Linked DNA regions of Schizosaccharomyces pombe. The gene in region 2 interacts genetically with the main gene of each other region. Each region holds a gene or a part of one and is shown on either strand. Other genes may lie near its edges.

Region 1 (3,804 bases), on a different chromosome or scaffold from region 2:
GCTTTTTCTTAAAACTCTATAAACTTTGGAAGGTTACTCGAACCAAACTTGGATAAACATACGAAAGAAGAGATCCGTAAAAATGCAGGAATCGGAAAAGAACCCTAATTGTGTAGCAATTTTTATTAAATAATTTTTTTAATGTAAGAGCTGCATTGACAACTGCTTACAGTAAGGTTTAAATCAGTATTTGTCAAAGTCTTCGAGTAGCTTAAATTTTAGAAATATAATATTTGTTAATTTTTGAAGGAAATATTGAATTGGTTCAATAATCAAGGCTTTTTAACAGTTCCCTGTTAAATTAAATTAAATGTTGTTATTAAAATGTGGCCGAAAATTAAATTTGATTTAAACAAAAAAAAAATTTACGAGAATTTAGATTCATTTACCTAAAGTGTTAATGATTATATTTATTGCCTTCAAAATCCCTGCGTCGAAATAAATCCGGGCCAAGATGCATTAGGCTCATATTAATACTAACTGACAATAAAATATCAAAGTGTGAAGAAAAAATTTATAAATAGGTAGCGCGAAGGTGAAAAATCATACATTTGAACATCCATCAATATTAAGGAGAAAAGTAAATATAACAAATTTTAAGGGAAATTCTAGTGCTGGTAATTCAATGCAATACTACTACTGGAAAATAGAATAAGGAATTGAACGTCAAATGGCTTCTGTATAAATTTGTTAATGTCATATTTCCATATCTTTCAAGCGGCATTAAGCCATAAGGAAATCCAATTCTAATTGAATACAGTCAGAAAAAAGAACTCAAATACTCCTTTAAGATGTCTATTTAAACTGAAATACCTGCAAACAAGTAATTTAAAAGTTAGGGAAAAAACAAATTTAATTTTTAATAGGATTTTGTTAAAATTTAGTGGTACATGTATCCTCGTTTAAAATTAACCTTATTTAACATACAAAAAACGAATATGTTGCTTATTGAAGAATTCAAAGCTGGGCTTATAAAGTAAAGAATAAATTTTGAATTCCAAATACTGCAAATTTATTATGTTTTTAATAATACACATATTTTGAAAAGAAGATAGATCGTTGCTGAAGGAGCATGTCTTCCTCTTGCGATACTAACACTAACTAAAGACAGCCATGACTCAACAATTCTTTTGAGTTGTTTGAAGGGAAAAGTAAAATCTTTCAGTTATAATGTTGCCAAATAAGAGATCAAATCTTAATAATTTAGATGAGATTGCTTAAGTTTAGGCTCATCAATTCGATTGCTGACATTAAGATACAATTACAGAAAATAGTATTTTTGAAATCTCTCACTGAGGTCTGGACTTAGTACTTACTAAAGATAACATTTCAACACTCTACAAAGTGACTCATACTTTAGCTTTCTTGCTGCTACTCTCCCTTAATAAATGAGCTTGAACGAATTAATCGTTGCAGCTTTAAAATTATTCTGTCGACTTACTAATGGCATAAATTTACTTAAAAAAATATTTTTTAGATACGAGAAGTTTATAATAAAGAACAAAAGTCAGATTGCATATTTTTTTGCCAAGTTCAAATCGTTATCCAAAGTAGCTTGGTAAGCCGACAGAAAGTCTTTGATTTAATAAATATTCCAAACAAACATATGACAGTATTGTTCCATTAAAATAACTTTAGTTTCACTTGTAGGTTAGTTAATACCTAACTTAATAGTTGACCCTTCTATGACTAACTTTTAGTTTCATCATCAATGTTTTCTCTTGTGATTAGAAGAATTCATATAAGGAAATTGTGGTATATTACAGTATTCACAATTAACGCATCTATGTTCAGCGGATTCTTCAACAATCCAAGTCTACTTACACCAAACGAAAACCTACTTTTCCAGGTTGGTTTACATTATAGCTTTGCTGTTTAAAAAACGTAATGACAGCGATGAATTCGAATTTTTCTTATCCTGCATTAGGAGTGGATGGAATCAGCTCCCAAATATCACCAATTCGGGACGTTTGGTCCACGAATTTGCAACAAGAGATGAATCTTATAATGAGTCTAATAGAAAGGTATCCAGTTGTTTCTATGGATACAGAATTTCCAGGAGTAGTTGCTAGACCTCTTGGCGTCTTTAAAAGTAGTGATGACTACCACTATCAAACTTTACGGGCAAACGTAGATTCATTAAAAATCATTCAAATTGGGCTTGCTTTAAGTGACGAGGAAGGAAATGCCCCTGTCGAGGCATGTACATGGCAATTTAATTTTACATTCAATCTACAAGACGATATGTACGCTCCGGAAAGCATAGAGTTACTCACAAAAAGTGGCATTGACTTTAAGAAACATCAAGAGGTTGGCATAGAGCCTGCAGATTTTGCAGAGCTCCTCATTGGTAGTGGATTAGTTTTGCAAGAGGAGGTCACGTGGATAACGTTTCATAGTGGATATGACTTTGCCTATTTATTAAAAGCCATGACACAAATCCCTTTACCCGCTGAATATGAGGAGTTTTATAAAATTCTTTGTATTTATTTTCCGAAAAATTACGACATAAAATACATAATGAAATCTGTGTTGAACAACTCTAAAGGTCTTCAAGACATTGCTGACGATTTACAAATACATCGTATAGGACCCCAACATCAGGCTGGAAGTGATGCCTTGCTAACCGCGAGAATATTTTTCGAAATAAGGTCGAGGTATTTTGATGGTTCCATTGATTCCAGGATGCTCAACCAGCTATACGGTTTAGGCTCAACCGGTAGCGTTTTATGGCACAACAATTCATCTACCCCACAGATTCAATTCAGAGATCTTCCAGGTGCCCATCCTAGTCCTACTCCATCTAATGCTGGGATTCCCACCACTTTAACGAATACTTCTTCGGCACCTAATTTCGCCAATTCAACATTCAGATTTCCTCCTCGTGTAGTTTAGATCACGAGCTAGTTGAAAACATACCGTTAAAAAATTGAAGTCCTTGAAAGTACTTTCGGGATGCTTGTATTTTAACTTAATATATTCTCGTTTTCTCACGTATACCCTTGCTTGAACTTGTTTACTCGATATGCTTTTCTAGATTTTTTCCATAAAATCTATACTTTGGATTTTTATATGTTTTTCTTTTTATTTAAGAGATTGGTTGGAGTTTCCCGCTAATTCAGCATAAAAGTTTTTGTATCCACTCATTTTCGTGAGGAGCATTTTCCTTCTATTTTGTTGCGATGATTTACTTTAAAATTATTCATCTTCATTCCCAGCGAAATGAACTCTCTTGCATCTGGAAGCAAAAAAAGCCTTTCATCGGGTTTTGTATTAATAGATAATATAGTCCATTTCCTTCATATACTGATAATGTATCCGTGTATTTGTAATTCGTAATAGCTTAGCATCCAACCCAGCATCAACGGTGCAAACCGGCGTAGATTTCAAGTCTGATGTTTATCATCGGTCAACTCCAATGCTTCCCCAAAACAGCTCTATGTGCATGTTGTAACAAATCTTCATGCAAGCATCAACTTTAGTTAGTAAAGCTTTTTTTTTTTTGATAGGTGCTTTATCCTGTGATTTAAAATATTACAATCTCAAAACTATTATTTTAGTTTTTAGCTTTTATTTTATCACTAAGGTTCCCAAGCCAATGAACAAAATATCACCTACCTCGTCGTCCCAACCATTTCTTGAGATACTGAAAATTTTCAATAATTCTTCTAGTTAATTTGATCAAGCATAAAAGAATTACCTAAAATTTATTTTATAAAAACTCTAAGATCTTGTTTCTCTTGTTCGACATGCAGAAACTAATTTTTTATAACCTCGCTTAAATCTAGCTTAATTAGCTATAAT
Region 2 (5,986 bases):
GTATTTTCAAATGAATATAACGAAATTAGTAGAAGAATCCTCATATCTGAGGTTTTTAAGGCGCATTAACGTTTAGCTATACGAAGTCTCTAAAGCAAAGACTTGAGAATAATTTTAATAGAAAGCTCTTTGGTTTTAACGAGAAAATACTCCAAAACCCTGGCGTCGTTAAGCTAGACAAATGATTAAGAAATATCAATAAAATAAATTTTTCTTAGACATCTCCGTACATCTCGGTAAATTCATAATGTTATTAAGAACAATCGTTATTTAGTTTTAAGATAAATATAAAATATCGTTATTATTAGCAGCGGCTATAGAAATGCTGCAATCAAGGACGCGATTTTTAGACACGAAGCAACAGCAAGAAAGCTGGTTGTTGTGCATAAAGAGCATTCTGACATTATTTTTGGGAATACATTTGTATAATAGTTATTGATTTAATTAGATAAAAAGAAAAAACAACATTCTGAAGAGAGTGTTTGCGAGCATCTATTCATAATGCCGAGGGCTATTTTTGAGGAAGATGCTGCACAATTAAAACTTGGTCCAGGTTGGATTTGAATTTTATTCTGTTGCTAATATAAAAAGAGTTTGAGAATGAGGATATGTTGACGGTTTCAGAGGCCAAAATCCTTATTGAAACAGTTCTGGCACAACGAGCACGCGAAACTAATGGTGAGATTCCAATGACTGAGTATGTCTTATTGTATGCATATTCTTTTTTAATTAACTAGGATAGTGTGATGAAAAAAACAGTAGCTTACTTCAATGTTTTTGCTCGGTTTAAAACGGCTGAAGCCACTTATGCATGTGAAAGGTACATAATTTCAAAGAATTGAATAGAATTTTAGAGGAAAATAGCCGTATGCAAATATTTGACTAACCTCATAGAATTCTTGGTAATCGATTCCATAAATTTGAACGTGCACAATTGGGAACACTCTGCTGCGAAGACGCTGAAGAGGCTAGGACCTTGATTCCTAGTCTCGCGAATAAAATTGATGACCAAAATCTTCAAGGCATCTTGGATGAGCTTTCCACTTTGCGTAAATTTCAAGATTAATGCAATAAATAGATCTCAGGCAAGTCTGTTTATTGTCAATTATGAAAACTTAAAAGGTTTCCGGTCTTATAAACTATTAGCTATATCAGGATTTATAATACGACGTTTTTGTCATTATTATTCCATAATTTATGAGGGGTCATAAAACTTTTTTTAACAAAATCTATGTTTTTTTATGCACCATACACTTCTTAATTAGTCTATTAAAAAAATATAATACAAACACTGAATACACGCGAAAAGGAATTTAGATAAAATGTATTAATTAGATTAAGTAAGTTTTAACAAGGATCATACTATTGTGAAGCAAGAAAAACTAAACATTTTGAATCAAATGGGCGTTCTTTGCTTCATAAAGGACTAGCAAGTTGAGTTTGAGGCAGGAAAACTTGAAGTATTTAAAATCGTTTACACATCCAGATAGCCGCTTTGCAACCCATTTGAATGGCATTGGTAAGCAATGCATGAGCTGGAGCTTCCTTTGCGTTCCAACCTTCGACTGCAGTGTTCAAATGCTCTAGCTCGTCATCTCGAAACTCTGCCAAATGGCTACGAATCTCTTTAAATTCTGGAGCTTTATTTTCCAAATGAGCCGTTTCACGTAGTTGGTCGTTATAGTGTCCGCCAATTACCGTTTCTACTGCCTCTGTACAAGCCATAGCTGCTTTGGTTCCAAGCAAAGCAGTTCCTGCTCCCAACGCAAATCCAGCGATGTCCCAGAAAGGACGTAAAAAGGTAGGACGGACTCTATTCTTTAAGACATAATTATCAAATGTTGCGAGATGGTACTTTTCTTGATCCCACATATGCTGAATGGTAGGTGCGACTTTGGGATCGGTAAATTGAAGGATAAAGTGCTGACCTTTGTAAATTTGATTAGCGCCTAATTCACCTGCTTGATCGACACGAATGACGCTGTCCAAAATATTTGAGTCTTTCTCGCTCAGTTCTTTACGGCCCATCGAAATTCTACGGCATGTTATAGAGGAGCGAAGAAAAGGAGAAACCGACTTGGTAGCAATGGGTATTAACTGTCTACGTGACAACATCTTTTGTAATGGTAAAAAGGCCTGAAATTACACAGAGTTATCAATTTTCAAAACGAAATTTTACTAATCAACAATAAACCAATATTTCTAATTCACTAATAGATTGAAATATTCGACGAAAGAGACTATGATGTTGATTGGGTGTGGAGGATTAGAATGTGAAGTTCTCTACCAAACCGAACGTTTTAGGCGGAAATGCTTAGTTGAGTAACACGTTAGGCTTGAGGTGTATTTCATATCAATCTCTGAACAAATCTGCAAAATTCAAGCTAGATGGTTAAGTTAAGAAGGAATTAAATTTAAGTGATTTGATGTTCACTCTATTTTTATGGAATAAAATATTCGATAAACTTGTCGTTTATTCTTTTGCTTGATTAACGCAGTGAATACCAGTTGCTTCAACTTTATTTTTAAGTCAAAATGAAAAATACATACTTAGTTTTTAAACTAAGAGATTCAATAAACAGTGGCGTAATTTCAGGAAAGAAGCAATGTATCATTTTTTTCCTTAGCTAAATGGCTTTGCTACAGTTTCATAGTGTTCGTCAATCTTGACGGATATAGAAGTTCAATAATAAAATGCTTCTTATAAACAATAAAAAAAAAAAACATATTTAAGCTGCAGTTTTAAAGTAAACTCCAATTTCCTATCTTTTTTCCAACCAATTCAACTCAACATTGTATTTTCGCTTAAAAAACTTTAAATTAATTACTAGTTCAACCGAAGGGGAATCCGAAGATATACAAATTTCCAGTATTACTGATATAACAAGTACAAGTAGAGACTCAAAGACACCCCATCACAATTAATTTTTGACTTGCTTAATAATTCAAGAATGTAATTTGGCATTATGGATTAATTTTCTTTGTTATAGAAAAAAAGCTCCAGAACCACACCCACCTCCCCCATCGAAAATTTACAATTTGAAATATGCGAAATCAATCATTTCTTTCCTTTTTCTAATTTAATCTTTTAAACACAAATGAGTACTTATGTTTTTCAGGCCTTCTCTCATTATTTTATAAAATAGCAATATCGTTAAATTCCGTTGTATCAAAGACGTCGTTTGAATGAGCTTGATTCTTTACCCCAAACCAACTTCGTATTTATATCAACCTTTTATAAAAGCATATTTTTCGCTAAACATGGCCATTTTTGAAATCAATAATTCTTTTTTAATTTGTGCTGTATCTATTGCTTTGAACCCTCTGCTATGGAATATTGCTGCACGTTCAGAATACAATCATAAGACTTTGACCAAATTGGCAAATGGCGACTCTAAGAAGGCCTGTTACATGCTAGCAGCTTGTATTTTTGTTGCCGGAATAGTTCGTGACTTAATTTATCAGAATGCTTTAAAACAACAACCTACGCTAGGTATCTTCATGAACCCTCTTGTGCAGGGTATAGCTAAGCTCATTTTTTGTTTTGGCAGCGTCCTTGTCTTATCGAGTATGTATAAGCTAGGACTTGTTGGTACATATCTTGGTGATTACTTTGGATTTCTGCTTCCAGAGCGTGTTTCTGGTTTCCCATTTAATGTCAACGATAACCCAATGTACAACGGTTCTACTCTTTGTTTCCTTTCTACAGCTCTGCGTTATGGAAAAGTTGCTGGCCTCCTTTTAACTTTGGAAGTCTTTTTCGTTTATAGAATAGCTTTGAAATTTGAAGAGTAAGTTGCCAACTGTTTAAATTTTTAAATTTTTCTTTACTCTAACCATTAATAGACCTTTTACTGCTAAAATTTACGCTGCTCGTGATAGCAAGCAAGCTAAAAAATCCGAGTGAAGCAGCTGATTTGAAGTGGCCATAAGTTAAAGCTTCATTAGAGTTTTTTATAAAAAAAAAAAAAAAAGGAACAATTTTAAATGGAATGTTCTGTTCATGACTAGTCCTTACCTTTACTAACGCTCCTCCTTTAACCGATTTTGCCCTATGTACTTTGACGACTTCAACGTCTGTATAATTATGCATAGTTTAACGCTTTTTTTTTCAAATTATTTAAGTGTGTTGATCGCGGTCTCAACACCATGATCCGATATTTTTATATTCATACTTATGTAAAAAATAATCTAATATTTTACACCATGTAAATTAACGTGCTTTCATTCTAAAATCAAATAAAATTCAAAACAAATATATTAGCAAACCAAAAAAACCCCGTTTTGACCAATTTATATGTACAAAATCAAACTCTATAAATCCAATCGTTCAAGAGGAAAAACAGAGTACAATTTCTAATTTATTTTCCAGAACGTTTAATAGATTTGACAATGCGATCAAGTTCTTGACGTTGATCTCCTTTTTCAGCTTTACGCTTTTTGATTTTAAGCTCAGGCTTACCGTCTTGTGTTTGTTCCAATTGATTTGAGCGTCTTTTACGACTTTCGTCCATAATTTTTTCCACCGTTTTAGTACGTTTGAAATGAGGATTTGTTGGATCAAGTGCAAAATTATGGTTAGTATATAGAGCAGCAAAACGTGGGTCACTGACATCAGCTTCGAATCCTTCCTGCAAGCCTTCCAAATTGGAGGCTTTTTTCTTAAGCTTGCGATTCTTCTTAAACTTTTCAGCCTTCAGTATACTCTTCATGTCAAAATGATCGAGCTGCTCAGAATCGTTTTCATCTTCACGAACAAGGTTTTCCAGTTCTTCTTTAGACGCGGCCGTAGGATCTTCAATTTGAGTATGCTTGCCCTTTTTGTTTTTCTTATTGTTACGACTAGCATCCTTGTCCTTAAAGAATGGATCATCAAAACCAAGATCAACGTCGGATCCTTCACCTTCATCGTCTTTTGTTTTCTTAAGCTGTCTCAATTCTTTCCGTCTTTGTTTTCTTTCAGCGGCCTTACGCTTGTATTTTTCAATAGTGGTTTCATCTTTTTCCGAAGAGTTCGCATTGTTATCAACATCAAAACCTGAAGTAAAAGTAACCTCCATCTCACCATTGGCGCCTTCAAGTTTGTCATCATCCTCAAAAGGGTTACTATTCGCTTGGAAGTCATCAGCATCACCACTTAATAACTTTTGGTAACGAGAACGAATAACATCTACATCCTCATCTTCAGATTCACTTGAGGCAATGTAAGCGCTAAAGTCTAAATCTTCAATATCCTGAGAAGTAAAAGCCTTTTTAATTAAATCCTTTCTGTGTGGATCCTCAGCATCCCACGAAAGTTTAACTTTTGAATGTTGCAATGCATCGGTGACAAAATCTCTCGGCTCATATTTTTCGGGCGCTTTAGTACATACTTCGCGAGATTCATCGTCGTCAAATGTAACATCATCTGGAATGAATCTTAAATCGTAAATATTAGCGCTAGTTTCATACTCAGCGCCATCACAAGTTTCGTATATAACCTTTGCCGTTCTTACACTATCACATTCCACTACTGCGTAATAGTAACGAAGCCTTTCTAATTGATACTGGCGTAATTTTACCATATCAAACTCGTTGCCTAAATCCTCCTCTATTAAAGCATCTTCCTCATCTTGATCAGACTCATTGTTATCAAAACCAAATTTTTGAGCCTCATGCAATTCGGCGCTAGAAGGTTGATTGTCAGCTGGAGTAAATATATCACGTGGAGGACCCTGAACATGTTCCGCAGCCATTCTGGATTTTCCAAATTCACTGGGATAAATCGACACTTTCAGTAACTTCCCACCAGGAGGACAAAAAGAAGAAAGAGCAACAAAAAGATCAACTGCTTGAAGATTATCCCAATCCATGTTTACTACAGCAAGACGGTTAGTTTCTGAACCACGAGGAATATTCTCTTCTGGCTCGATTCCAGCTAATTCGGATATCTCCGGTTGAGCTTCAGTTTCACTTTCAGCGTCGCTTTCATCGCTACTTTCCGAAG

Evidence for each region. Genes that interact genetically often act in the same process or in processes that back each other up.
Region 1: mutations in cho1 (region 2) and caf1 together harm fitness more than expected from each alone (negative genetic interaction), as found in Schizosaccharomyces pombe (one large-scale study listed by BioGRID).

What each region holds. Positions count from the first base shown.
Region 1 is NC_003421.2:1,964,930-1,968,733, reverse strand, and holds caf1 (CCR4-Not complex CAF1 family ribonuclease subunit 7/8), read left to right. Parts: upstream 1-1,879; 5' UTR 1,880-1,887; coding exon 1,888-2,895; 3' UTR 2,896-3,304; downstream 3,305-3,804. Other genes in the region: oligosaccharyltransferase complex zeta subunit Ost5, read left to right, coding at 1,389-1,431, 1,488-1,550, 1,701-1,879. UniProt on the Schizosaccharomyces pombe protein: Acts as the catalytic component of the CCR4-NOT core complex, which in the nucleus seems to be a general transcription factor, and in the cytoplasm the major mRNA deadenylase involved in mRNA turnover.
Region 2 is NC_003423.3:1,055,161-1,061,146, forward strand, and holds cho1 (putative phosphatidyl-N-methylethanolamine N-methyltransferase), read left to right. Parts: upstream 1-3,203; 5' UTR 3,204-3,261; coding exon 3,262-3,791; exon of another isoform or gene 3,792-3,808; intron 3,809-3,846; coding exon 3,847-3,907; 3' UTR 3,908-3,966; downstream 3,967-5,986. Other genes in the region: DNA-directed RNA polymerase II complex subunit Rpb4, read left to right, coding at 502-553, 592-697, 743-820, 895-1,066; ubiquinone biosynthesis protein Coq7, read right to left, coding at 1,465-2,115; pre-rRNA processing protein Esf1, read right to left, coding at 4,362-5,986. UniProt on the Schizosaccharomyces pombe protein: Catalyzes the second two steps of the methylation pathway of phosphatidylcholine biosynthesis, the SAM-dependent methylation of phosphatidylmonomethylethanolamine (PMME) to phosphatidyldimethylethanolamine (PDME) and of PDME to phosphatidylcholine (PC).